Linked DNA regions of Astyanax mexicanus. The protein of the gene in region 4 purifies or fractionates together with the protein of the main gene of each other region. This does not show direct contact. Links are inferred from orthologs where the notes say so. Each region holds a gene or a part of one and is shown on either strand. Other genes may lie near its edges.

What was found.
Region 1: the proteins of kat2b (region 4) and atxn7l3a purify together in Homo sapiens (affinity purification with mass spectrometry; 5 studies listed by BioGRID and IntAct, counting the BioPlex papers as one, with this or other methods). This does not show direct contact. The link is inferred for Astyanax mexicanus from reciprocal best matches to the Homo sapiens genes KAT2B and ATXN7L3.
Region 2: the proteins of kat2b (region 4) and transformation/transcription domain-associated protein purify together in Homo sapiens (affinity purification with mass spectrometry; 5 studies listed by BioGRID and IntAct, with this or other methods). This does not show direct contact. The link is inferred for Astyanax mexicanus from reciprocal best matches to the Homo sapiens genes KAT2B and TRRAP.
Region 3: the proteins of kat2b (region 4) and hif1ab purify together in Homo sapiens (affinity purification with western blotting; 4 studies listed by BioGRID and IntAct, with this or other methods). This does not show direct contact. The link is inferred for Astyanax mexicanus from reciprocal best matches to the Homo sapiens genes KAT2B and HIF1A.

What each region holds. Positions count from the first base shown.
Region 1 is NC_064426.1:35,730,523-35,737,985, reverse strand, and holds the start of atxn7l3a (ataxin-7-like protein 3), read right to left. Parts: upstream 3,002-7,463; 5' UTR 2,771-3,001; exon of another isoform or gene 2,767-2,770; intron 1,167-2,766; 5' UTR 1,008-1,166; intron 242-1,007; 5' UTR 180-241; coding exon 129-179; intron 24-128; coding exon 1-23. Other genes in the region: ubtf (nucleolar transcription factor 1), read right to left, coding at 6,669-6,782. UniProt on the Homo sapiens protein: Component of the transcription regulatory histone acetylation (HAT) complex SAGA, a multiprotein complex that activates transcription by remodeling chromatin and mediating histone acetylation and deubiquitination.
Region 2 is NC_064422.1:24,991,807-24,999,093, forward strand, and holds the start of transformation/transcription domain-associated protein, read right to left. Parts: upstream 3,002-7,287; 5' UTR 2,920-3,001; intron 2,047-2,919; exon of another isoform or gene 1,907-2,046; intron 1-1,906. UniProt on the Homo sapiens protein: Adapter protein, which is found in various multiprotein chromatin complexes with histone acetyltransferase activity (HAT), which gives a specific tag for epigenetic transcription activation.
Region 3 is NC_064408.1:70,075,657-70,082,905, forward strand, and holds the start of hif1ab (hypoxia inducible factor 1 subunit alpha b), read left to right. Parts: upstream 1-4,228; 5' UTR 4,229-4,601; coding exon 4,602-4,633; intron 4,634-7,249.
Region 4 is NC_064410.1:61,521,300-61,529,295, reverse strand, and holds the start of kat2b (histone acetyltransferase KAT2B), read left to right. Parts: upstream 1-4,973; 5' UTR 4,974-5,163; coding exon 5,164-5,364; intron 5,365-6,476; coding exon 6,477-6,615; intron 6,616-6,703; coding exon 6,704-6,849; intron 6,850-7,996. UniProt on the Homo sapiens protein: Functions as a histone acetyltransferase (HAT) to promote transcriptional activation. Has significant histone acetyltransferase activity with core histones (H3 and H4), and also with nucleosome core particles.

The DNA.
Region 1 (7,463 bases), on a different chromosome or scaffold from region 4:
GAGTAGATGTCATGAGCCAAGGCCTGAAACATGATGGCCAGAGATATGAAGATATACTGGTTTTATCTTATGCTAAAATGTCAAAAAGGAAGCATATAGCAAAAAAAAAACAAAAACAACAACGATACCTCTAGCTTGGTGTTATCCAGGCCTGACAGTGACATACCCTCCATTTTCATTTGCAAAAGCTATTGTAGTGGGGTCGCCATAGTTGCTTTGGTACAGCAGGTGGGCAGCCACACTGTCAGAAAAACAGATCAATAAAATATTTAAACAAAAAAAAAATCAAGTTTACATTTAAATACATTACATGTAAATACAGTTATAACTTATTGAAGTCTTTGTGATTTAATTACTATTCCTACGAAGACTGTCATAATGCCACATCTATTTAGCTCACATATAAATGAAAAAATGAAAGAATTTCACTGTATAAGGAAACGTTTCCTTCATGTGCAAATGACAAAAAAACTCTTTTGAACTATAAAAAACAACCACACAGAATTCAAATTGTCATATCTGGTAGTCTTATAAGGATAATTACACAGTAATAATGTGCGTGGTATTTAGCGTTTGCATGTGTGCTTTCTTTTACCAGATACTATTTGACTGAGAGTGGTGGCATTTAAAGCTTTTTTTTCTTGTCTTATCTAGTCCATATTTCAACACTTTAAATGTTTACCAATGCATATTTAGTGTGTTATTACAAAGTGCTATCTAAAGGGTAACTAAACCATCTGATTTTATCTGACTCCACCCTCAGCCCAAATTTGAAAAATGCTAAAAAATGGGAGGAGCGCTGGGTGATGTATGGGTTTAGGGGCTGGGCAGGAGGGCGAGCTGATTGGGCTGAGCAGTGACCAAAATACCAAAATAAAAGCATTTTTTTAAAGGTTAGGAAAGGTTTAAAAAAATAAGCAGAACTGGCATGTTTCACTACTTTAAATGCATACATTTAATCTATTAATGAAAATAACTTAGTTTAGGGTTTAGTGCCTCTTTAGTACCTGCAGCAGCCTTTTAGATCAGTGAGTTTTCTCCAGGCAGGTCCAGCAGCTCTTACAGATGAGGAAACTTCTGAAGTAGCTTATCTAACTAAAGTAGCTTAGCTAACTAAACTATATGTGTTATAAGTTAAATCATAGTTAGAACCCTTGACTTACCACCTGCAACAGAATAGAGGAAATGAGGAAAACATGCAGCTTTGGAAAAAATTGAGACCACTTCAGTTTCTGAATAAGATTTTGCTATTTATAGGTATATGCTTCAGTAAAACAAACATTGTTATATTCTATAAACTACGAACAACATCCCCCATCTCCGCAATTCCAAATAAAAATAACAAAAAAGATGCAGAACTTTCAGACCTCAAATAATGCAAAGAAAACAAGTTCATATTCATAAAAATTTCAGTTCAGAAATCAAAATTCGGTGGAATAACCCTGGTTTTTAATCAGTTTTCATGCATCTTGGCATCATGTTCTCCTCCACCAGTCTTACACACTGCTTTTGGATAACTTTATGCAACTCCTGGAGCAAGAATTCAAGCAGTTCAGCTTGCCTTTGTGGCTTGTGATCATCCAGCTTCCTCTTGATTATATTCCAGAGGTTTTCAATTTGGTAAAATCAAAGAAACTTGTCATTTTTAAGTAGTCTTTTATTTTTTCCAGAGCTGTAACGTTATCTGTTTATATCTGTGTGGTGCAACATCTGTGTTTTGAGCTGGAAAACAGCCAGCTTGTTCACTGAACTAATAAAATTATAATTCAGTTGTTATGAGTACACTTAAAGTTTATTAGCTAGTAAAATATTTACTATTTAAGTTAAGTATTAAACGATTTAATATTATAGTTAGCTGGGCTAACCTTGCTAACCTAAGTTACCCAAGCTGTCAACAGGAAACAGAGGTGTAGAGACTGAAGGAGAGAAGCCTATTAGCTCTAGCTGATTAATAGTGGATTAACAGTGGCTGGATTTATGTATGTCGCGTATATGAAAATAAAAATAGCTCTATATATTCAGAATGCTGCAGTTTTGTATAGTTTTGTTTAGGATAGAAAGTTAACTAGCTTAGCAAGTTAGCTAGATAGCTAACATCTAGCTAGCTAACCTAGCTTTACAGTAGCTAGGTAACGTAGCTAACGTTGCTGTACCACTACAGCATGTTTTCTTAGCTTAGCCGGTGTTCTGTCGAGTTGTGCTACTCATCGATACGTGCTTCCTAACGGCACTGCGCATGCGCTGACCTACACTTTTTAATTATTTCTCGTGTTTTTTTTTTAATAAATATTTTTTGAGGCATTAAACAACCACTATACCCACTGTCATTGCATAAAAACTGCAAATGGAAATACAAAAATATATAACAATAATAAATACACTAGTTATTACTTAAAAAGTACAAAAGCAGTTTTTAATGGCCTCTCATTGACATAACTTTATCGTGATACAGTAATTTATGATATCCATATATACTACATAGACTTCTACGATGAACATGCTTTAATATTGTGCTTCTTTTGTATTTTTACAGTTAAATAAACACTAGGGAAGCACGGTTTGACAAGATAGCAGCCTTCGACACAACACCGGGAATAAACACCTATAGACACCTATAAAGCAGCTCACACACAGCGGGGAACAAGGTGCACACACACAGCCAGAGCCCACCTCCTTCCCAACACACTCACCTCACACACACATAAACACACACACACACACGCTATTCGGTTCCCCCGCAGAGAGAGGGACGGGGGAATCGCGCACCTACCCCGCAGCCCCGCGGGCCACAGTCCTCCCGGGCGGTTCACGAGCAGCCGCCGCCGCTCCCCCGGAGCAAGTGGGCGGAATAAACCAACAGACACACGGCCTTTTCTACGCTGCTGAGACGCGAGAAAAATTAACGCTCCGCTGAAAAATCCGCTGGATATTTACACTGTAGAAATATGGGAAAATAAAACGCAGCCATTTTGCCGCCCGCCAGGCGTCACTAGTCCGCTACCGATCAGCAGCGCATCGATCGGTCTGAGTGGAAACACTCCGTCCTGAGGCTGGAGGAAAACAGCACCTCCGATTAGCCACAGGCTAGAAAGTTGCTAGAGATATTTTTTGTGGTGTTTTTAAAGTGTTTTCACTCTTACACCATAAATGTAATCATCCAGAAAATACACGTTTGATGTACAAAGTTTATTTCTTTACTCTTAAGATAATGTGAGGCTGCCAGGGTAACTTTTTAGCCAGAAGGCTAGCTAGCATTAGCATTACAAACTAGCTAACTAACCTAGCCTAGCTAGCAAACTGGCATTAACCTTTCTATAACTTTCTGTAAAAAAAAATGGAAATTTTACAGCAAGTTGATGCCAATAAATATTAAGACCCATTTCATAATTATGAGATGCAAAGTCGTAAATATGACATACTAAATCATTATTATGAGATGTCATTATTATGAGATAGTAAGTCAATTTTAAGATAGTAAGTCATTATTATGAAATTGTAAATCATAATTATGAGATAAGTCATTATGAGAAACTAAGTCAGTTATAAAATGGTTAGTCATTATTATGAGATACTAAGTCAATTATAAGATGGTCAGTAAAAATTATGATATAGTAAGTCATTATGAGATGGTAAGTCGTACTCATAAGATGCCACGTAAATACTAAATCCTAATCATGAGATGGTAAGTCATTATTATTACATACTGTCATATTTATAAGATACTAAGTCATAATTACAAGATGGCATGTCATTACAAGATACTAAGTCATATTTATAAGATGGTAAGCCATTTTTATAAGATACTAAGTCATAATGATAAGAAGGCAAGTCATTATTATTATTAGATACTAAGTCATAATTATAAGATGGTAAGTCATTATTATAAATCATAATTATAAGATGGCAAGTCATTATGAGATACCAAGTCATATTTATAAGATGGTAAGTCATTATTATAAGATACTAAGTCATAATGATAAGAAGGCAAGTCATTACTATAGGACACTAAGTCATAATTAAAAGATGGTAAGTCATTATTGAGATACTACGTAATTTATAAGATGGCAAGTCATGACGGGATTCTAATTCATAATTATAAAATGGTAAGTCATTATGATGAGATACTAAGGTCATTATGAGTTGGTAAATCATAACGAGATACTTTATAGTTTTGAAATGGTAAGTCATAATTATGAGATAATACCCCCTGACTTACTATTTCATACTTATCATGCATCTCATAATTATGACCTGGGAGGACCCTTATTTTTCCCCAAGCTCAAAATATTTTTGAACTACTTTTTTAAAGTTTTTGCTTCAGATGCAGAGCATTTTATAAAAATTAACACATTTGTTTTGTGCAGACCATTTTAAGAGAGCAGGAAATAAAACCATCAAACAATTGCTAAAGACAGGTTTATTTGATCAAATGGTAAATTCCAGGAATAACACCTCCGACTATAGAAAACATCCAAATGTTCCAAATTATCAGCAGTACAAATTATTATTTTTTGCCATTTCTACAAATAAACAAACAGCTGAGGGGTATAAAAACTAAAACATACCAAATTAAAATCTTTCCCTCAGAGCAATTGACAAATTCAGACCACTGGCCACTACAAGAACCACGTAGGGGACAGCTTGGCCAAATGAAAATACAATGTTCACTCAATACAAAAAAAAAAAAAAAAAATTAAGTATAATAACAATAGAAGAATAGGAAAAACGATGTATTTACAAATACCTTACAACAGCAGTGAACCAAATCCATCCCCTCTGATCTCATTGTTTCTATTCCTATCATCAAATCTACAAATGGACTGTGTATGTCCCATTCCCTTGTTCCTCACCACCATCATATCATTATAATCATTAATAACCACTATAACCATTATGCTCTTCCAGATCTGCCAAATCCATTCAGCTTTATACATGAGACAGACCTTACCCTCTTCCTCATTTTCAAGGGCACTGATAAAAGATCTGTGTCCTTTGGGTGTTGGGGGTAAATAACATAGCAAGTAACAGACACCACCAGTGATTCAAGAGGTGGAAAAGCACATAGCTTAAACTCCAGCAAAATCTTTATACAATGTCTAGGGGAAATAAAACAGAAAAAACAAAAACGACAGCCTCGGAAAAGGGGAGGGAAAAAAAACAGCAACCCAAAACTTATTATATATATACACGCACACACAACAAAGGATTTTCTCCTGTATTAAATACAACATTCCTTTACATTCCTTGAGCTGGTGCTCAGTAGAACAGCAACGGTCATATCAGTGGTTGAACGATGTGAAAAGGGGGGAGATGGGGGAAGCACACATGAAGAGCGAGGGATGAGGAATGAGAAAAAGAGGGAGAAAAGAAACATGGAGGGGGCAGATGGCTGGTGAGGCTGTCTGAGATAAGTGCACAGCGTTGTGGGCCATATTCATATTACAATTGAATATTTAAAAGAAACCAGTCAAAAAACTCTTAACAGACGATTAAAACAAACCAAACATTTAAGATAAACCAGTCTAAACTTTTAGCAGACATGTAAAACAAACCAAACATTGTTTTTTTTTTCTTTAAAAAAAGAAAAGTCCTGCTAAGCAGCTTCAAATAAAAAACTGGAAAAATAAAAACAGCTCGGATGGACACCAACATCAGTTCTAAATATAACTAACGAGAAGTTAGCAGCAGGGTTGTCGGTAGGAACTCCTCTCAAAGCTGGACATATCTGGGCCAAAGGAAACATTTTAGGACATAATCTCTTTCATTAAGCTTTATGGTTTTAATTACAAAAAACTCCAAGTAAGTTTTCTTAAATTTTTCTTTTTGAAAAATATTAAAACTCCATCTCCTCAAACTGAAGAATCCAGGTCTTCCACAAACAAAACATCCCACCAAACATAGCTGTTGGTGGCTTATGTACATGTCATGAACAAGTTAGGCTTGTGTAGATTAACACAAACCAAATGGGACAGACATTCAAATTCAAAAATCGCACCATTGTTCCTGAAGATACCACATTATGAACCCAAGACCTATAGAAGCAGAAGTGCACCACCGTCGGAAATGAGAAAGCAGGAGGAAGAAAATATACAAAGGTTTGTAAAGGCAGGATGATTGTGACTAGGATGGCTAGAAGGAGATGGGGAAAAACAGGGCAGACATTTTTTTTAAGAGTGCAAGTATTTGGTCCCCTTTACCTCCCGAAAGAAATCCAGATTCTTTGGCTTGTGGGTCTGTTACTCCCCTACAAAAAGACTGGAAACAGAACGGATATAATCCCTATTCTACATCATTCTACATTAATGGCTTCAGACACTAAATGTGATGATTAGGGACTGCTTTATGGAACCACCAGCATCTTTTTTTTAAAGCACCTGCATAAAAAAAAATACTTTCCCCTCATTCATTCTGTTTCCTTCTTAAACTTAAACAAGCTCATTGATACAGTAAATAAAGAAAGAAAAGAAAGAACAGCGAAAGAAGATTGAAAGACATGGTAGCTGAAAGAGGTTGTGGACGTGGTGGTTGTGGTGGTGGTGGTGGTGACAGTGGAGGGAGCTCCTTCTGGTGGCTGGAGGGAGTGCAGTGCAGGCCCATGGCTCTGACTAATGGCTCAGTTCACAGGCTCTCTGGCAGTCTGCGGGCTCACGCTCTGCTCAGTCACCCTCTCAGTCTGAGTCCGAATCTGATGAACCATCTGAGCTAGACCCACTGCTGCTGCTCTCCGATTTGTTTTCTTTATCCTCTGCCTCTTCATCATCTTCCTCATCCTCGTCATCGTTCTGGGAAACCAAAGAATGTGGAGGTTAAATTTAAAAATCACAGCTGAGTGATACAATGTAGGGTTACCATCCATGTTTGAAATGTCTTCTTAAAAATGTACTAATGAACAGGTATGGGCACTTTATTATAGTTTTAAATAACTAATATAATGCAATTCGGCTAATATACTCTAATAAGTATACTTTAAAATTAAGTCGGCATAAATTTTCAATAAAATGCAATCAATTAAATTTTTTAAATCAATTTAAAAGGTAAAACATATACATAAGAATTTCTAGCTGTTTTAGAGCATTTCTGTAGGCATGTGCTATGTCAGCACCATTAGCTAGCACTAGTGTTGTTCCAAGCTCTGAGTTTCTTCCTGCCATTTGAAAACTACTACATCTCATCACAACCCAAACTCCTCCCAGTGCAGAAAATCACTGGCTTATTTCCAAAGTTTTCAAAAGTATTCACTTTCATTACTCAGGTAGAAATACTTTTGAGATGTTTGTAGAAGCTTTTTACTTAAGTAAAAGTACTGGTTTCAAAACTACTTAAAGTATAAAAGTAAAAGTAATACAAAGGGAAACAATGGCATTACAGACAAAAACTTAGGCCACACCACAGAGTCCTATAGTGCACTTATCCTCCCTCCCCAAAACACATTTTACCAAAAGCCATAATGACTATAATGTTAT
Region 2 (7,287 bases), on a different chromosome or scaffold from region 4:
CTTCAGTTTGGAGATGGTACTGAGGCTTACTCCAAATAATGTTGCAACTTGTTTTTTTCAGAACACCAGCCTAAAGTTGCCTTATCCAGACCAGTCAAATGTGGCATGACACCTACTGACCAGTGTAGCGGGGACCATTTTCACAGGTGCTGCACCTGGAGGTACCAGAAGCTAAAAAGTGTCAATAGCAACAGCAGAGTAAACTGTTTGGCTATGGCAGAGAATATTTGGCTAATTTTATATGGGTACAACCCACATATTCAACTCTGCTGCACACAAGATGTTTTGTGGTGGATTAGAGCTGGAGTCCTTAACACCACTGGCAGAGAGGAGTACCCAGTCCTATCCACAGACAGACTTCGAAAGTCTTTTGTTGCTCAGGCCATAAGACTGTCCAATAAAGTAATAGATACTTCAATAAAGTATCTATCTATATATCTCTTTACATATCTAATCCCACAAATGCATGTTCCTTACAAATGTGGCTTACTTTAAAAGGGAAATGAACAGGCTTTACAACAATATTAGATTTCTCACCAAGAAACACTGTTACAACAGAGAAATTATCTACCAAACAAATATCCTTACCTTTAGTGCTGTGTTTATAAGGTATAAATCATGGAGTAATAGTGTAGGCAGAGCACATGGTATGTTTGTTGTCTCAGTAAATTAAAAATAAAACGTGCAGACTTAAGTGAACAGCACTAACTTACAAACCCTTTACACAAACGTTCTTCGTATTGTAGTTAATGTTATAATTGTTCATTAGTTATAAGTTATAAGTGTTCATTAGAAAGGTCTGTAGGTCTAGGGAGCTTACAAGATAGAAACTTACCACTACAGCCAAAACCATCAAACAACAATGTATACAGCTCTGGAAAAAAAAATACGAGACCACTTATAAATGATAAATGATGAGTTTCTATGATTTTACCAAATTAAACCTCTGGAATATAATCAAGAGGTAGCTGGATGACAAAAAATCATAAAACCAAGCTGAAATGCTTGAATTTTTGCACCAGGAGTGGCATAAACTTATCCAAAAGCAGTGTGTAAAACTGGTGAAGGAGAAAATGCCTGAACATGCATGAAAACTGTGATTAAAAAACAGGGTTGTTACACTAAAAATTGATAATATCTAACGATTAAAACGTTATGAATATGAACATGTTTTCTTTGCATTATTTGAGGTCTGAAAGCTCTGCATCCTTTTTGTTATTTCAGCCACTTCTCATTTTCTGCAAACCAATTCTCTCCAAGACAATATTTAATTTGGAATTTGGGAGAAATGTTGTTTGTAGTTAATAGAATAAAACAACAATGTTAATTTTACTCAAACATATACCTATAAATAGCTAAATCAGAGAAACTGATTGAAAAACTGGTCTCATATTTTTTTTCCAGAGCTGTATATCAAGATAATAAAATACAGTTTTACTATAAATTAAGATCTTACATTCAGCAAAAACATATTATAATATTCCATATGACAGAATTATGGGATGTGAACTGTGGGTTAAACATTCTGTGGGGTAAACAACTGCAGTACGCCTAGCTTATGCATCAATAGGTTTCCCTGCACCTTCAGCTAGCTGACTATAATAATATTTAAGCTGTGTGCTGAAAAGTAAACACAAATATTTAGCTTAAAAAACTTTAAACGATTAAATTACACACACAGATATGTATAACCAGTGTAGCTTCTATATGCAGCCAAAAATAAGGTTATATGCGGCGAACTATCAGCATAAAGAAGGCGTTGTCGAAAACAGCACGGTAGGACCCTAAGCTAGCTATGCTATGCTAGCTAGCTAACTACACACTGCAGAGCACTGGAGCTTATAATAATAATAAACACAGGATAATTTAGCTAATACAGCAAATTCACCTCTTTTCACAAACTTACACACAACCGCCACTGAAGACGCCGGCTGGATATCCGTCTGCGCACTTACAGCAACTTTATCTGCAGTTTTCCAGCGCAGCCGGCGCGCCAAATCGCAGACAGTGCTATGCTAAGCTAGGCTAGGCTAAGCTAAGCTAACGTTACTACAGATGCACGCCTACTGCAGTCCGACGCGCGCAGATGACATCACTGCGGTTAAAGCCAGGCTAAGCTAAGCTAGAGATTAGTGCAGTGAAACAAAAGCCAGGATATCTTATATTTAATACACGAACTTATAACAGAACTCAATAGAATATATATTAGAGTTTACAGACTTTCACACCCCCATCATTCCAACCTTTATATCTCAGTTTTGAATCCGCAATCCCTTAGTAAACACACTCTAAACGCGTACCAGCCTGCTGCACAGACAGCCGGGTGTTCTGTCGAGTTACGCTACCCATCGATACGTGCTTCCTAAATGCACTGCGCATGCGCTGACCGACTATTTAATTTTTTTGTTGTTGTTGTCGTTGATAATAAATCTGTTATTTGTGTATTAAATAGCTCGGACTGACTCATTGCACAAAGTATAAATGTAAATGTTTAATAATAATAATAATAATAATAATAATAATAATAATAATAACAAATACAATTATTATTATTAAAAATGTAAATACAAAATCAAAATGTAATTAATAACCTCCCATTGCCGTATCTTTACCATGATACAGTGATTCATGCTATCCAAATATACTAGCTACATCTACTGGGACTTCCACTCCTTTTGTATTTTTACAGGTAAATACGCTAGGGTAGCACGATTTGACAAAGTAGCACAACTCGACAGAACACCGTTACTACAGTCATGTCCTTCCCACCAACACAACTAGCAGTATTTAACCTCCACCAGTATCCCAAAGCCAGCGCACATCTCGGCTTCAGCCACTCACACACACCTGCGTATCATATAAACACAAAATCCCCCCAAATAAAGCGAATAAAACGCAATACGCGCATTAAAGACTTACAGCAGATGGAAAAAGAGGGAAGGAGTTCTAGCTCTGCTTCAGCTCGCACCGACTCAAACCCGGCGGAGGGATCTAAGCAACACCGCGCCAAGCTATGATAATCTGTTTACTAATTATAATCATATATTTCTTGCATTTAAAAACAACAAGCATGATATGTGATATAGCTATGTTAACTTCTTACTAATAAACACATTATGTAGGATCTAATTGTGCGCTCTTCTATTGTTTTGTCGTTTTTTACAGTACAGCGGTATAGTCCTGCGCGGAAGGACACTGCAAATTTGGTAGTAGTCAGAAGACCATCGAAAACGAAGGTCTTTCTTTTCTTTCGTTTTCCCATGTATTAAGAGCTTACAAATTATGTTTTTAAGCTATTTTAATGTTTCCATTTCATCCCTATTTTGATTTCTAAAAATGCAAAACCTGACTTTTAACACTTAGACCGCTATTCCTTTAAAAAGGTAACTAAACATTTTGCAGTATAAAGAGAATTTTAATTTACGCACGCAATTAATTCTGTTTTAAATACTGGACTCTACTTATTCATTTTTTTTAAATACACCACACAGCTATAATGAGCAGCTTCTATCATATTTGTTATATTATGCTTCTTTATATGGGGCTTTATATAGTAGTCAACATTCTGCATTTAGGCTGGCTGGTTGGGGTTGTAAGTACAATAAACGGCCATTTGAGGTCGCTGCGTTGTTGGGCGTCAATGTGAAGAAATTATAGGGGGAATGGCAAAATGACAAATATAAATAAATAAATGCACAAATAAATAAATTAATACCTTTATGTATTTATTTATAAATGAATAAAAAAATAAATGCAGAAAGCTGCTTTGTGAGCACATCAGTTATAAAATGTGCTATACAAATAAATTTGATTTGATGATTTGATGTAAAACGCCTCTGGATATGAACTAGTGATGGGTGATTTTCACAATTAATTCGGTTAATTCGAATTACAGTTTTATTGCGGTTTTACATACTGTGACGGGCGGGGGGAGCAGTGGGTCCGTCCCACGCCATGACGCGCAGTCCCTGCCGGTCCCAGCTGATCTGAATCAGGACTGATTGAGCAGCAGCTGGAACTCCGGCATAAAGACTCGGATTCAGTCCCCACTCTGAGAGGTGCTACAGGTGAGAGGAAGGCTGCGGCAGGATAGACCCTTAAAAGACTGGCAATCACAAGTTCAGCGAGTAGAGCCCCTCTGGGCCAGTGTAGTTATGTTTTGAGTTGTTTTGGGTGTTAGTGGAGGGCATTTGTAGTGATGGGCAGATGAAGCCTCATTGGGTGTATGGCACATTTCCCAAACTGTATCGACACTGTGTTGAAACTGTGTTGCTGTATCACTTAATGGCGACATCTGCTGGACTAAGAAAGTCATTGCAAGCAACTGCGCGAAGAAATGCATCGGTCACGTGGTTTTCCTTAAAATGATACGCGGTCTGACACAGGGGTTCGCCTTGTTTGCTCGGTGCATGCGCTGAAGTTTCAGTGTCGTCAGACCCATCGCTACCAAACGATACAGGAAGTGTATCGGTCACGTGGTTTTCCTTAACTTGATACGCGCACCGACACGGGGTTTCGCCTTGACAGCTCGGCGCATGTGTCGAGGTTTCAGGGTCGTCAGACCCATCACTAGGCATTTGAACCTAAATAAAGGTACGTTTTGAGTTCATTCACTCCCTGTGTCCGTGTATCTGTGGGTTTTCTGACTGCCCTGTCACGGTGGCCACGCCCCTATCCCTAGGGATGCCGTCACAATACAGGCACTTTATCTGTTTACTCTAAAGTTTCTAAAGTGTTTATCCTTCTTAATTTGGCTACCACTGCCTCCCACAGACTAATGCCGGTCTTACACCTAACTATTTTTAAACGTTTTCACAGTCGCAGACAAATTTCCAAAGTCGGGAAAAAATCTGGAGAGTCTGGCTAGAGAAAAGTTGCGGTCGAGTTGCGGTGGCGTCATCTCTATCCTAAGGTGGTTGGAAGTTTAATCAGTCGGGTTCGCCTGATTAATCAACCGTGTTTAATATTATCGCAAGTCTTGGGACTTGGCTCACGCAAATAGTGACGTGAACAATGTCAACGACCAATAGAAGAGCTATGGGGAAAGGCAAGAATATATTTCACGTGACTGTTTTGAAACTATTTACATATACAGTATTTTAAACACAGGCAGCACTTTAAAGTCATTATTTTTAAAGTTTTTATTTTGCACTACTTTGTCTTATTGTGCAGTTTTTTTTAAATACAAAAGTTTAATGTTTTTCAAGAATTAACTTCTTTAATTGCATTAGTTGTATCTAAGGCAAATGTATAGCAGTGAAACTGTGTAATTCATTGCTATACAAGGTTGTAGCAAAAAGGGGATAATCAAGTTTATAGACAGAGTTGAACACAATGTATTCTATTAAATATCAAGAACTAACAGTGAGGAAGAAAAAATAAACTGTTGATGGGCACAAAAGTTGTGAGTCTCTGATGAATGTGTGTTCAATCACTCGCAGGTGCTAAACCGTGATTAATGGTGGAGAGAAATAAAATGTCTCATTCAAAGTGTCTTCTATAGTTGTTCAGTGTATTTTTCAATTTTCAGTCACACACCCTCCTTCGTGTGTGATAAGCTGTGTACTCAAGGTCAGCGTGTGATATGACTGCGTGAGCTTAAACTGCTTTAAATAATTGATTTACTCAATGAGTAGACTCACCCTAAAGCTTCTAAACACATAAAATATATATATATATATTTTTTTTCTGTTTCACATGAAGATATGACACTTTAATACAATGTAAAGTAGTCAGTGTACAGCAAGTAACACTGTATATTTGCTGTGCTCACAAAATAACTCAAAACACAGCCATTAATATCTAAACTGCTGCCAACCAAAGTGAGTATATACAAGTGAAAAGGGCCAAATTGTGCCCAAAGTGTCTATTTTGTGTGGCCACCATTATTTTCCAGCACTGCCTTAACTCCCTTGGGCAGGGAATTCATCAGAGCTGCGCAGGCTGCTACTGCAATCCTTTTCCACTGGGTTCTATTAATGTACCACCTAAATTTGTGTTAGTCTCTGTCTGTAGAAAAGTTCAACATTCAGTTATATCGCACTCCAGAAGATGTATACATGAACAACACAAGAAACTAATATTATTGATGAATAATCATCATTTAATAAGTTATGGGAAGGAAGAATATGCCAATGATATGATTTTCCTCTGCACAAGCCTACATCTCTGCTTAATGATGGCGGACAAGCCATTTGCCACCTTTGCCATCTGTCTGAGCACAATCACAGTAACCCTGCTGGAGCACAATAAATGATCCAGATGGTGAAAAGGTTGCATTATCATTTCAATGGCCTCACTGTTCAGCTGTGGAAACATTAAAGCAGAGATGACATCCTGTCCCTCCAGCGAATGAAACTTCAAATACTTTAGTATGACAGATTCATATCCAGCAGCGGGAGTGCAGATGAAATGTGGGCGGTTTGAGGCTACTTGCGGTCTCTTGTTGACCACTGGCCCTCATCTTTGACTCCTTGTTTAGCAGAGTAAAACGAGAATGCCACCGGAAATTGGATTTGTGCCTCAACGACCGCTTGGAAATGAAAATGCTGATGTATTTTTCAGAAAAAACAGGCTCTATGACCCACATCTTGGGTTTTAGATACACTATGCGCAAATGTGTGCATTCTAATGAATGCATTATTCAGCTACTTATTTAAAGCTACACCAATTGAGTACAAATTCACACACTTTCTCTAATTTCTGTAGAATAGTATTGGCAATGGAATAGAAATCTCTGGAAAAGATAAACATGAACCTATTACCATAAATCCTAATGCCAGGTGTGCGCTGAAAAGGTAGCAAATGATGTGGGGTTGCTGCACTTGGTCAGGTCTACGTTCAGTAACAGTATGTGCTGAACAAATGAGGTCAGCTGACTACCTGAATATAGCATTATAGAGCATTATTTTTTGCATGAACCATTTAATACCCTTGACTTCAGAAGAAGCAATTCAACATTTAGTCAAGACATGAGAAAAAAAAAAGAGACAATCATTAATAGTGAATATTTTTATTTAAAGAAATGAAAAATGTAGGATTGTATGCATTTTATGAGGCAGGTAAAAATAACACTGGCATCTCCAATCATGCTGCAATATAAACACAATTAGTACATTTCAGCACAAACTAGATAAATACCCGGGAACCACCAAAAAAAGAATGAGAGTGCATTTCCCCAAGAAAATGTATGTATAAATTGCAGCTCAATGGCAGTTGTGTCTGTGTTGCTTGCTAGGGTGTTGCCAGTTTGTTACTAGGTTAACGTTTGCTAAGAAGTTCCTGTTT
Region 3 (7,249 bases), on a different chromosome or scaffold from region 4:
TTCCAACTGGCCTTGCACCAATCATTAGACACACACTGTACATGAAATGTATTTCATCCACAAGGTCCCCATCATTTACAAGTGTACACTGAGTACAATATACAATAAGAATACTCTAAAAAAATAACTTTTACTGAAAAGCCTTGAGCAAATGCTTTAAACCTTAAGTGGTGCATACGTTTTGGAAATCGGGGATTTAGAGACCTTTCTGGTGAGAATGTGTAATTGTGCAAAAGAGTACTTTTAAAACTTGTTTTAGCATGATCCCCCTTTTTACAGTTGCTTAGCTAACCAGCAATATATGCTGAATCATCTTTCAAAGGCTGTGCATTTGACCTGAGTACATCAACAGCAAGTGACAAGGCCAGACACTGTTGCGAAAAACTCCTGCCTAAACTTTCCAGATCACTCTGTTTTTAAAATGAATATATTAAAGATTATAAAGTTGCAGTGATGGCTGTGCCAGCACACTAATTCAATTTATTAAAATATTTTGTCCCCCTCCCTCACTCTGCTTCTACTAAAATACTACTGCTTCTGCTTTCAATTAAAAAAGAAGAAAAAAGGAATGCCACTTTAGACTGCCAATATCTGTTGCTGGTCCAACATCACTCAAGTACATCACATCAGTTTCCTGGCTCTTCCTCATATCACACATTGGTGCTTATGTGATTCACTTGTTGTTAAAGCTCACCTTCCGCGAAAATCCGATTTTTCTTGTTTTTTGTGGAATACAGTAGGTCTCTCCGAGTTGAATGTGTACACCTGCACATTAAACTGTTTTGCAGCCCCCATTGTCTGCAGGAGCTAAGCAAAGAAATCCCCCCTCCCCCCCCTCCGAAAAACGGGTGAATTTTGAATTATCTTTCTGCCTACGTAGGCAGAAACTCACAGACCAGCCCACCTTGGCTCGAGAAACTCCCAGAGGCGGAGCTGAAGCGACGCAACATCACCGCTCATCAGTTAGGAGGTGGGAGGCAGTGAGCGGCAGAGCGGTGGAGGGGCGTCGCAGTGCTCCTAGCCAATCAGAGGAGAGATATTTGCATGCTGTTTGCATGTATGAGTATTCATGAGCAAAGCTGGAATCCGGTCATTTTGGACACACCCCTAAAACAGTCCATTAAAAAAGAGCTATACAGAGACACCTGAGCACTTTTTTTTTTTTTACAAAAACGGCTCACATGTCATTCATTCATGCTAGAGACCACAACTAGACATTTTAAAATGAAAGAAAAAACGACGGAAGGTGACCTTTAAGGAGCACTCGTTAACAACAAATAGACAGTCTACACAAGCTTCCTTATTTCAGAAAAACTCCAGTCCTGGAGGGCCGGTATCCAGCTAAGTCTGGCAGTTGCCCTACCCAAACACACCTACTTTGCCTGGTAATGAAATGATGATTTGAATCAGGTGTGTTTGGGTTGGGCAACTAAGCCTTGCTGGAGACTGGCCCTCCAACACTGGAGCTGCACCCCCATCCTGTACAACAACCATTGTTTCTTTTTCAAACTGTCAGAAATCCTCTAACACACAGTTGTGGAATCCGGCTCTTATTCGTAGCCAGGACCTTGTGTTTGGCGCTCACAGTCAGTCTACACAGCTGTTTTATGGTAGTTAATATTCTACAGCCTAATGTTTTCCTTGCTATACCCATAAGAAGTGGACTTACTGGCTGACCAACCAACAGGGTACAAAAACTGTAAACACTGCAATTTGCAAAAATATATATGTACACTTCTGTTGCCTTATAATTTGTCTTTACAGTTGGTTTGTGTGGTTAATACTGTAATAGCAATGTTGTAAAACATATTTTGTGAACATTAAAAAGCTAAAATGCCTCTTAATAGTTAAATGAACCTTGGCTGTTAAGCCTCAATATAGTGTATATGTCCAGTAGTACTGTTATGGGAACTAATTAACAATGGTTAAAAAAATTATATTTTACATCAGTACTATATTGTATAAAACAAGTAAAATACTTCATATTTATGGAAAAAACTAAACCTCTATAATAGTAGTACTCTTCTCTTTTTCTCCATCTGTCTGTCTGTCCGTATCTATTTCTTCCTCTGTCTGTCTCCATCTGTTTTCCACAGAGCGAGGAACAGGAAGCAAAATATCTACTTTACCACAACTATATAATTCAGTCTTTCCAGCTTTAGTTAGAGTGTGACATCACCCAAAAGGAAAGCTTTCCAGACAGTCTCACTTTCTGTACTGTATATAACATCATCACAGTGTAACAGTGACAACCTTTCAGTAGAATAATTTTGCTAATTTTTCTAAATCATATTCCAAAAGTATTGGACATGACCTATTTTAGGACATAGACCTTGTAACATTCAAGGCTTCTTTTAACTGAGTGTGAATATTGATTTTGTGTCTGCCATGATGTTTGCCGAAAAACATCTTATTAAGACATGATGGATTACTGACAACAATATATTTATTTAATTGTGGGTTACATGCTCCTACAATATTATTTATTTCCTGTATTTTGTTGATTTTTGTTTATTGAGACATTCATTGCCCGTAATTAAACTTTATTCACAATGAAAACAAAAATGATTTCAAATTCTATACAAAATAATATTATAGGGGTGGATGGATTTGCCCAAACAGGATGCTGTTAAGGGTTCACAAACACTGGAATTGGCTCTGGAAATATTGAAAAAACAAGGTGAATACAGTGAAAGCACTGAAACATTAGGTTAACATTAGTTAAGACATTGGCATACAATGATATATATGTGTAATACAATTAACAATATAATCCTGAGTTAAAATGTAATGTGTTGCAGTCATTGACAGTCATTGTTTGGCATCATTATGTCAACCGTTTTTGTGACCTGTCTTTCCTATAAACTGATTTCCGCATTTGGTTGTGGATCTAAACATAAATATGAGTAATTTTACACTACTCACTAAATGAAAGATACTGATGTAGTGTGGTGTAATGGCCTGACCACAGAGTCAAACCAGGCTCTACCACAATAAAGCTAATGTTGTCACCCACACGACAACACCAACCACTAATATACCCAGCTTATATTTGCATAATGCAGTGTATATATACTATATGTTGAAATTTAGGCTGCACTTAGGCTGCATTTTAGGCTACATTTAGGCAGCACCCACTGCTGACACAGATGTTCAAATGCACACACAGTAGTATGGTAGTTCCTATAGAGAACCACTAAAATAGGATTCTCTTGAGCAGATAAAGATGAACTAATTGGCTTAATATGATGTACATGTCCAGTAGTACTCAATATATTGTATAACTAAAGTAAAATACTTAAGTTTTATGAAACATAGACTTACAAATAGACTTATAAAGACCTCCCCGGACAGTGAAGTCAGTAGAGACAGTGCCAACAAAAGCTTGAACTTATTAATACGTAATATTAATACATAATAATTGATATAATGTATCTAAAATGTATACAGTTTAGAATTGTATTAAATGACTGTAACTATACTGTAACCAGCTAACTAATTATATAAAAGAGAGTGAGATTCCATATAAACCAGTGGTGACATATAAGCAGTCATAATGAGCCAGCTGAATTCAATGAGCTGAATTATCTCCAGTGAAGGAAAAAAAACATTTAAGAATGCTGTTTTCTGTCTGAAATGCACAGAAAAGACTCTAATATTATACTATAACATCTATATAGCAAACAAATCCAATTAACTAAAATATTTAATAGTTTATTTTTATTTCCGCTGCATTAGATGCCTGTGTGTAATATTTTATTTAGTAGTAGTATTTCATATTGACATTTCTCTTTCGTGAACCGTCCCTAAACAGTAAAAAAACATGAATAAAAATTGTACTTTTAAAAATTGCTTAAAAATTCAGTGCAATGGGCGAGGCCAATTTATTGTTTAATTGGTTGATAAACTTGTTCATTTGGGTTGTTCATGGTCAGCTATCAAACTGCGTAATGTGCAACAAAACATTTAAAAATAAAAAAAATACATGATGTCCATTGTAATGAGTGCAAGGTCTGAAAGGGTTAAATACAGGTATTAGATATGTCACCCTGGTTATTAACTGGGTAATATAATGTGGAATTAAGGTCTGTAGGTGTGATATAGGTATCAGTATCTCGTGTGTGTGTGTTTGGAGCTGCAGTGTGGGGGCTTGTTTTTCGATGACGTTTGTGCAGAGCCCGGTTCTGTCTCTGTGCCAGAGGAACATGTGATTGCGCGCTCCCGTAATCATGAACGAGCCCACATAGAGAGTAGTAGTAGCGGAGCCTCAGTGAGCAGCATTAGACTGTAGCACTTAACTCTCTTTGTGCCGGGGAGAACCCCACCGCAGGAATACACACAGATGTTCTGACCTTCAGGACCACGGAGGGGCGACCTCTTGAACTCGGCTGTACAAGAGACATAGCGGAGACGTGTTAGCGGGTGTTTTTGGCCGCGTTTAGCTCGGTTTGTTGGTGTTTTTCGGGGAGGACAGGTGGCCACGTCCTTCATCCTCTCTCTTTCTCGGGTCTGGAACTAGCGTTAGCCGCTAGCCGCTGTTTTGTTGCGCCGGCGCTTCGGGAAAAAAAAAAACCTTACACACTAGGAGGTTTCACCCAGGAATGGATACTGGAGTCGCCACTGAAAAGAAAAGGTACGGCGGACGGATTTTGTATGTGTGTTATTGTGCTGTTCTGACCTGCAGACAGAGGCTGTTCCTCCTTTTCACCTTTCTGCTGCTGCTGTTAGCTGTTAGCTTAGCGGAGGCTAGCAAACAACCGTCCTCCTAGCGGAGTCGCCATTTTGTGCTTGGGGGGCGTCTGAGGCAATTTGCTGACAAGTTTACAAACAAGCGAAAAACGCCAGCACCTCAGCACTCGGACCGTCTGTAGCTGTTGAAATCTCTCCAGCGGGGACATTTTGTGTCGGTTTTATTTTGAATATACGCCGAAAACACGGGCTGCGTCTGTATCTGCGTTGGCAGCACAGACAGCGGTTCAGCTAATGCTAACGCTAACCTAGCTTAGCTTAGTTTAGCTAATAAGAAGTTGCCTTGATTTGTGTTGCGCCGGCTGGAGCTGAGTGTGTGTGTGTGTAAAAGATAAGCGACCGGATGATTTATTTTTTGTGGCTTAAAATTTGTTAACTACAAACTGAAGGTGAATGAGAGAGAGAGAGGGGTCAGCTCTAATATATATATTTATTAGAAATGTTTAATAACGGTTGGAGTAAAGTGCGTCAGCGTGGCATGGACTGACTGCTGGTGCGGAGGAGGAGGATGAGGAGTGAGTGTGTTAAAAAAGCTGCTGTTAAATAGCTTCAGATGACTTAAAACTGCAGAGTTTCTGTGTTTTTGTAAAGAAGGGATTCTCAATTGATGTGATTTGGGATTTTTAACCCTTCGTTACGTTTATTATAGCTTATAGACGTGACCTATTTTCATTCAGACCCTCAGCTGGAAACAGGTTTGCCTTTATAAAACAGTATTTTCATAGTATTAAACCTTTTTATCAGATCAGATTCATCTGACGTATATGTGGTATTTTTTATTTTTAGGTATAACCTGCACACATGTAAAAAAAAAATCAACCTCTACTCCACACTAGCTAATTGTCTCTTTTGTCAGAACATAGTAACAATATACATTACCAAACACAATTTTGGCACCTCTCTTTTCATTTAGTGGATTTTTCTTTTTTTTATGATTTTTTTATAGTGTACATTTAATATTGAAGACTGTTAAAAAAAATACCTAGGCAGAAACACGTGAAATATTTTGGAAATAATCCAGAATATGTATTATGTTTTATATATATTGTAAGTGACCACATTTGTATTTGAGGACAGATCTGCACACTCTTGGTATTTTAATCTCTATTTTTACGAGGTAGGGTCACCTGGAATAGTTTTCTCAGGGTATTGGAGCAGTTCCTAGAGGTGCTGAACAATAGTTGCTGCTTTTCCTTCACTCTGTGAAGCTCCAGCTCATCCCAAATCACCATTTCAGTTAGGTTTAGGTCAGGGGCTTGTGCAGGACAATGTGTGCTACAATGTAGAAAATAAATTGATTGAAGGAATAAAGAAACATTGATTTAGAAGATGTGTCCAAGCTTTTGACTGGTACTGTATATATTAACTTATGTTTTCATTTATTAGGACTTTCACAAAATCAATATTTAGGTCAAATTTAGCTGTTAAAGGATGCTGTTTTGCTCCTCTTTTATCATCTCTTACTCACCACAGATGTTGACGTCAATGGGATTTCCTGCTTACTTCTGTGGCAAGACATTTGCAAGAACTGTGTCAGAAAAGAAAGGATGTGTGAGGCACACTTCACTATTTCATGTCTGTTTGGGTATGCCTTTTTGTGAGGGGTTAAAGGGGATTTAAAATTTACAATGTGGTTGTCACTTTGGGGTTCACATTTGTCTGGTTGAGATGGAGTGGTTGGTGTGGTTTAAATGAAATATCACTATAAAATTGATGAATTTATTATTTGGAATATATCTTATTTTGTTTTTAAGTTGGAATGGTCAGTGAAAGGAGTGAAAAGGAGAAAGTGAAAAGAAAGTCAGTGCTGCCCCATTTCAAGGGTATCTTCCAAAAACTATGAGTATGCATAAATCTTTGAAAGCACACAGGTGTATAATTAATAATTTAAATGGTCAGTGTCCTTGTATGATCCATTCTTTGTTTAAATAACCCATACCTTTTTAAATAATTGTTTTTGTGTACACAGTTGATTGTACTGGTACTATACCAGCATATTACTAGAATTATCATTGATCAAGTATATGTGGTTTTGTATTTGTTTTCAAACGGTGGTGCAGAATCAATCCCATGGTAATCCCTCCCATAATGTCCAGGCACAGGCCAATCTGTCGGTCCTAATTTCTGTTTCAAGGCTCTTCTTAACTACTGCCCTGGTGTTATGCAACACATGCCACACTAAATGTAGCTGGACTGTCTCTGTCCAAAGCAATACAAATTATTGCTGACCTCACGTGAAGGACAGCTTCTTATTCTTAAAAATAGACACAGCGGTTAGTCTGAAAAAATGTTTTTTTTTTCCAAATTGCCAAAAAACATCTGTCTTAGATTTTTGATATGAAAATGTCATGGCTTTTTAGAAATCATGCCATGCATTTTCTTTTACAAAAAACGTGGGTATTTGTATTTTATGTACTACACAATATAATAAAAACAGATGCTGTTATTGAAACTAATTTAACACATTTTAGATGTCAGGTTTTTTTTGGTGACTTTGGGG
Region 4 (7,996 bases):
GTAGAATCCAGAGAGCCCTGACATTTAAATCAAGTTAATTTTACTCCTGAGTTCTCCTTTAATATGAATCCGCTGTCACAATACTTTATTATGATTCAATATATTGCTATTGTTTAATTCTAATTTTTGGAAAACTGTCTTAACCTGAAAAAGCACATTATCATACTTATAAAATCTGTGTACTTAGGAAAAGTGCTTTTTATCCAACCAGATCGGTGAAATCTATCAACATTGGGTACAAAATTGATTGGGTGGAGTTTAAACAGAAATCGATTCAGTATTGCAAAACAAAGGACAGTGCTATTGGATTCATGGCATTACACACACACACACACACACACACACACACACACACACACCAATAAACCAACCAATTATGACCACTCCTTGTTTCTACATCCTCACCAGTTTCTCAGCTACACTGGTCCTGTAGGACACTCTGTAGCTCTTACCGACCCCACTGAGAACAGTCCTCCACCAGCATCCTGTGGGCGGAGTCATGTGCAGCAACAGATTTAGAGTGTCTTCACTCCATAATAGAGTGAAGGACAGTGAGTGGACACAGTGTTTAAAACCTCCAGCAGCACTTCTGCAGACAGTAGGTGTAGAAACAAGGGGGTGGTCATAATGTTATGCTTGGCCGATATATACTAGTGCATCACAAAATATTAGAGTATCATTGAAAAGTGACTTTATTTCAGTAATTCAGTTCAAAATGTGAAACTTATATATTATATAGATGTATTAAACACAGAGTGATCTATTTTAGGAGTTTATTTCTTGTATTGTTGATGATTATGAAGCTTACAGCCAATGAAAACCCAAAAATCAGTGTCTCAGAAAATTTGGATATACTACAAGACCAAGTGGTACTTTTGGCAGTGTCCTGCTGAAAAATGAAATCCAGAGCAGGGGGTAGCATAAAGTAGACTGTGTGTCTCTCCACTCTTCCTCCAGACTCTGCTCCCTTGATTTACAAATTAAATGTAAAATTTACTGATGATCAGTGATGGTTTGGAGAGTCATGTCTGTCATCTGCTGGTGTTGATCCACTGTGTTTTATTATCAAGTCTAAAGTCAGTGCAGTTTTGTTTTCCCACAAAATCGTACAGCACTTCATGCTTCCCTCTGCTACTGACAACTTTTTTTTTGGAGATGCAGATTTCCTTTTCCAGCAGGACTTGGCACACTGCCTACATTGCCAAAAGCACCAACTGAAATAAGAAATAAACACTTAAAATAGAACACTCTGTGTGTAACACATCTATATAATATATGAGTTTCACATTTTGATCTGAATTACTGAAATAAAGTAACTTTTCAATGATACTCAACATTTTTTGAGATGCACCTATATATGTGAGCACAAACATATATACAAGCAGTTCTCTGGCCAGTCGTGTTAAGGCTTTACTGGTTTATCAGCACAGTTATTTTGGCACAGTCTGAGCGTGTCGGTCAGCATGTTCGAGGATTTACAGGGCTCGACTCTGTAACACTGCAGTCCTGTATTAAAACCCTTCACACACTTTGACTGGGTACACACTTCTCCACACACCTGATAAATCGTCCTTTATTCTTCCATCCTCCCTTCCTCAAACACAAGCCTGATGCTAATCTATCTCTCTCTCTCTTTGTTTCTCTCTTTCTTTCTCTCTCTCTCTCTCTCTCTCTCTCTTTAGTTTTAACACACCCAGGTGTTTCTTACTCCATGCCTTGCACTAATTTTGTTCATGAATTGATCTGCTCTAAATACAGCCAGTGTGATATAAATATATATATAAATAATTTACTGTAAATAGGGTGTTGCAATGTAGTCTACTTTTCCATTTACTGTTGCAGAACTAATGCTTGATAGGGAGTTGTCTAGATAATCATTAAAAAAAACAATTGTACAGTAACCAGAAACTGCTTTGATAGGGGTTTGGACTTATGTTTCTTTTTTTTTTTCACAAAATGGTTAAATTATAATCAATGGTGGTCTTATAAATGTATGTAGTGTTATTAACAAAAACAAAATAAGAGAAACAAATATCAAATTCTGGTTGTCTTTTGTTGTTTGTTCTGACTGAGAATATTGTATCTGTCTATATTTATGCCCTCATTTAAAGCAACATTATACTACAGTGCATTCAAAAAGTCTTCACACCCTTTTAACTTTTTTTCAAGTTTTGTCATGTTAAAAAAAGAAACTGCAGCCAGTGAAACATCAGTATGACTCTGAAGGTGATCCTTTAAATCTTTTACCTTTTTTTGGCATGTGTAGTAAAATATAAAAAAAAAAATATATATATATATATATATATATATATATATATATATATATATATATATATATATATATATATATTTCCCCCATTTTCCTACATTTCATAACCCATAATGAGAAAGTGAAAATGAAAAAACTTAAACTATTTAAACTCTCTTTTACATTTTATGTTGCGGCCTAGTAATTGTCCTAATATATATACATATTATGCAGCTTGGGAATAAATAAGAGACCACGTAAAAATGATGAGTTTCTTTGATTTCACCAAATTGAAAACCTCTGGAATATGATCAAGAGGAAGATGGATGATCACAAGCCATCAAACCACCAAACTGAACTGCTTACATTTTTGCACCAGGAGTAAAGCAGCATAAAGTTATCCAAAAGCAGTGTGTAAGACTGGTGGAGGAGAACATGCCAAGATGCATGAAAACTGTGATTAAAAATGATTTCTGATCACTTAAAACTTTATGAATATGAACTTGTTTTTTTTTTTTTTGCATTATTTAAGGTCTGAAAGAAGATCTTTTTTGTTACTTCAGCTATTTTCTGTAAATAAATGCTCTAAATGAGAATATTTTTATTTGGAATTTGGGAGAAATGTTGTCTGAAGTTTATAGTATAAAACAGCAATGTTAATTTCACTTAAACCTATAAATAGCAAAATCAGAGAAACTGATTCAGAAACTGAAGTGCTCTCTTCCTTTTTTTCCAAAGCTGTATATATATTATATTTTATCATTCTGCAGAAATTAAAAACGTGAAAAAATATTATATATAAAGGAAAATCTAAAAATTCTCATGGACTCTTTGCTGTGTCACTTAAAAATGTATGTTGGTGGCTCCCATTTCTCTTGATTATGTTTGATGAGCTGTTTCTACACCTTATCTGGAATTCACCTGTGTTGAATGCAGTTGATTGGACATGATTTGGGAAGACACACCCCGGTTTATATAAAAGTTCTTACAGCTGACGGTGCATTTCAGAGTAAAACCCTTAGCGAGTCTGAGTGCTCATGTCCATATGAAATTGAAGTTTTTGTTTTAAATACATTTGCAAATATATCTTAATATATATTAATATGAATTTGAATAACATTGTTAAGAATTTAATGCAACACTGTGGTCGGAACGCTGCTACAGCACTATATAACTATATAATATGGTGGAGCTGCATTTTTCTTTATAAATCATTGATTGTTGGGATCAGCAATTTCAGTTAAAAATATCATATATCAGATGAAAACAGTGATATTTGAGAAGTGAAATGAAGTTTATAGGATTTACAGAAAGTGTACAATAATTCTTTGAGCTAAATTAGGCAGGTGCATAAATTTGGGCACCTTGTCGTTTTATCCATTTGAATAACTTTAGCACTAATTATTGGAACACAAAAAATTGTTTGGTAAGCTAATTTACCTTTGACCTACATTCACACAGGTGAATCCAATTATGAGAATAGGTTAAGGAGCCAACTGCAAGTTTTTCTTCTCTGTGCATCTTCTCTAAAGAGCGACAATATGGGAGCCTTAAATAAAACTCTCAAATTACCTGAAAATTAAAATTGTTTAACATCATGGTTTAGAGGAAGGATATAAAAAGCTCAAATCTCAGAGATTTCAGCTGCAGTTTCCACTGTGAGGAACAGAGTGAGGAAATGGAAGAACCACAGGTACAGTTCTAGTTAAGACCTAAAGTGGCAGAACAAGAAAAATCTCAGATAATCTGAGGAGAAGGATGGTGAGAACAGTCATAGTCAAGCCACAGACCTCCAGAACAGCTCCAAACACCTACAACATCAGCTTACTGCAGATGGAGTCACCGTTCACTATTTACTATTAAGCTCACTTTACACAAGGAGAGGCTGTATGGGAGAGAAATGCAGAAGAAGCCTTTTCTGCGCCACAAACAGAGTCGCTTGAGGTATGCTAAAGCTAAAGCACATTTTGACAAGCCAGCTTCATTTTGGAATAAGGTGCTGTGTGTGATGAAACTAAAATTGAGTTATTTGGAGGGCTGTTATTTATGCATGGCAAAAAAAGAGCACATAATTCCAACACAAACACTTTACTGCTCCCCACAGTAACATTTGTGCCAGGTCCATCATGCTGTGGGGCTGTGTGACCAGTGCAGGTACTAGGAATCTTGTTAAAGTTGAGGTTTGCATGGATTCCAGTCAATATCAGCAGATTCTTGAGAACAATGTTCAAGAATCAGTGAGAAAGTTGAAGTTTGAAGCACTGGGGCTGGATACTTCAACAAGACAACGACCCTAAACACTAAACACTAAACACTGCTCAGAAACCTGAATCAAACCTGACTGAACTGGAGACGTTTTGTAAAGAAGAACGATCCAAAATACCTTTAACCAGAAGCCAGACTCTCATTGGAAGCTATAGCAAAAGGTTAAGAGGCTGTTATTTTTTCTGTAAAAGGAGGATCCAATAAATACTGATGTAATTTTTCTGTTGTGGTGCTCAAATTTATGCACCTGCCTAATTTAGTTTAAAGAATTATTGCACACTTTCTGTAAATCCTATAAACTTCATATGAGAGAAAATGAGAGAGAGAGAGATGAAGAGAATATGAGAGAGTTAGAGAGAGAGGGAGTGTGTGTGTGTTTGTTTACTGTCCTCGCGCGCGGATAGTAGTGGAGTGCGCGCGCTCTCTGGCGCCTCCAGCGGCCGCGCGGCGGCACTGCAATGTCAAATGAAAAACAGGGATGAACGCCATGTCTGATTCCGTCGCGCGGAGCTAAAGAACGCGCCGCGCCGCGTCGACGGAGAAAGCCCGCGAGCAGCCCGCGGTAACCCCGCTCGGAGGAACCCCGTGCCCCCCTCCCGCTCCTCTCCCTCCGTCCCCACCGACCGCGGGCGGGGGCCCCGGAGCGCGGGATGGCGGAGAGCGGGGCCGTCGCCCAGGGCTCCCCGGCCGTGGGCGCTGCTGGCTCGGCTCCGGCGGCTCCGGGGGTCGCGGGAGCTGAGGGTTCCGGGGCGGCGGTGGGGTCCGCGCGGATCGCGCTGAAGAAGGCGCAGCTGCGCTCCTCCCCGCGCGCGAAGAAGCTGGAGAAACTCGCGGTGTACTCCTCGTGCAAGGTACGGACGGGGAGCTCGAGCGCTAGCGGTGCTCTTGTTATTTTTGTCGTGCACTCTCTTTTGCGCACTCCGAAATGTGCTGAGCGCAGCGCGCGAGCAGCAGCAGGTCGCGCACACGGCGTCCCGCTCGCATGTATATGCATGCATGTATATATATTTAGTGCACGGGTTAGAGCTCGTGACTGTGCACATGCATGGGTGTGTGTGCGTGCATTCGTGCACGGGAAGCTCGAGACCGAAGTTTGTTATGAAACGCGATCCACAGTGAATATGATCGCGGGGAGGCTCGAGCGCCGTCTTTGTTTTGACAGGATGACAGCTGAACCCGGGGGGCGGGGCTTACGACTGAAGGGGTGCGCGCGCTGCTCTGTGTTTTGTTTGGGTTTTTTTTCTTTAACTTTAACAGCTAAATGTTTAATGCTATTCAATAACTTGAGTTTTATTATTTTTTGTTGTTTGTCAGAACTCGTTTTATGGAATAAAGCATTTGAATTGTTAAAGTGGTTGCAACACAAACAATTAGAAAAAGAAATAAATGCACTTTTTTGACCATCATATTTTTTAGTAAAAAGTCTTGAATTGTGAGCAGTTTCAAGAATCTGCAGATAAGGTCATTCAATTCATTAAATTAATGAACTATTTTTATTACTGAAGAGATCAATGAAATAAGTGTAAATTAAAATACTGTAGAGGATAGACATTGGCAATTTAAACAGAAACATTTGCATAACATTATAGTAAGTTTTTCCTAATAATGTCCTACTTGTACCTCTAAAATGTGTTTAAGGCCAAAATATATTTTTAAAACTAAAAACTAAAAGAATAAATTAATTGCTGTTACTGAAGTGTCGGTTGTAACTTTTACACTTGATATTTACAACTGTATTTACTCGATAAGAACAATATTAAGTACAAATAAAATACAAATGAAATAAAATAAGTTAATTCTATGTATATCTAATACTTTATTGTATTATGTAATATTTGGAATTGTCATTTTATAATATATATATATATATATATATATATATATATATATATATATATATATATATATTTTTTTTTTTTTTTATATATATATATATATTTTATTTTTTTTTTGTATTCCGCAGGCTGAGGGAGCCTGTAAGTGTAATGGCTGGAAGAGTCAGAACCCACCTCCAACTCCGCCCCCCCCAACCCCTCCCAGGGCAGAGCAGCCAATCGCTGTTAATCTACTGGAGCCCTGCAGGAGCTGCAGTCATCCCTTAGGTAACCCTGTGTGTGTGTGTGTGAAAATGATTGGTATTTTCTGAGAGGAGTGGATCGCTCTCTGAACTTCTCCTCTTTCACTGGGCAGGAGATCATGTGACGCATCTGGAGAACGTATCAGAAGATGAGATGAACAGGTTACTGGGTATAGTGCTGGATGTGGAATACCTGTACACCTGCGTCCACAAGGAAGAAGATGCCGACACTAAACAAGTTTACTTCTCCCTGTTTAAGGTGACAAAATTCTCCTTTAGAAAATCTACATCTACATCAACATGCCACTTTTACATTCTACATTAAATAGCTTTTCAAAGAAAAGGCCGTAACGAAACTACAAAAAAAAAAAAAAAAAAAAAAAAAAAATATATATATATATATATATATATATATATATACATATATATTTCTTAAGCACTAAGTTTTTAATATCCAAACAACATGCCAACAAAAATCCAAAGACACTTAGCTTACCAGTGCTAGCAGTATTCCAATCGTGAACTTATTTCATCACTGCTTTTTTTGTCATACATTTAGCTTGCTAGCTACTTTTGGCAGTGCTATTTTAATCATAAATGTACCACAGCAATTTTAGTCATATGTGTACAGCAGCGGTACTACTCAAGGAACATGTAGCTAGTAAATTCGAATTTACAGATTAAAATATGTTAGTTTAGCTAACGTTATTAATCTGGCCCTGTGCAGTTTATATCTTTGCTGGAAAACAACTGGTTTGTGAAAAGGACAGAAACTGGGTAAACTGATAACAAGTGTTATAAATGGTGCAGACCACATTATTGCTTTTAGTTAATGCAAGTAGTTGTAGAGAACACAGCATCGCTCATAGATTAGAATTGTAACCCACTATAATAAAGCAAATCTGGGTTGTGATTGTTTAGCTGCAGGGTAAAAGGTAATTTGTGGTAACGTGCAATATCACTGGCCAATACCAATACCATAACACACACAATACATATGTTTCCTACAATCTTTTAGTTTTTATGTTCTCTTCTGTTTTTCTATATATAGATTTTTATATACAGCTCTGGAAAAAGATAAGAAACCGCTTCAGTTTCTGAATCAGTTTCTCTGATTTTGCTATTTATAGGTTTATGTTTGAGTAAAATGAACATTGTTATTTTATTCTAGAAACTACAGACAACATTTCTCCCAAATTCCAAATAAAAATATTGTCATTTAGAGCATTTATTTACAGAAAAATAGATGCAAAGTTCAGACCTCAAATAATGCAAAGAAAACAAGTTCATATTCATAAAGTTTTTAGAGTTCAGAAATCAATTTTTGTTGGAATAACCCTCGTTTTTAATCACAGTTTTCTTCATGCATCTTGGCATCATGTTCTCCTCCACCAGTCTTACACACT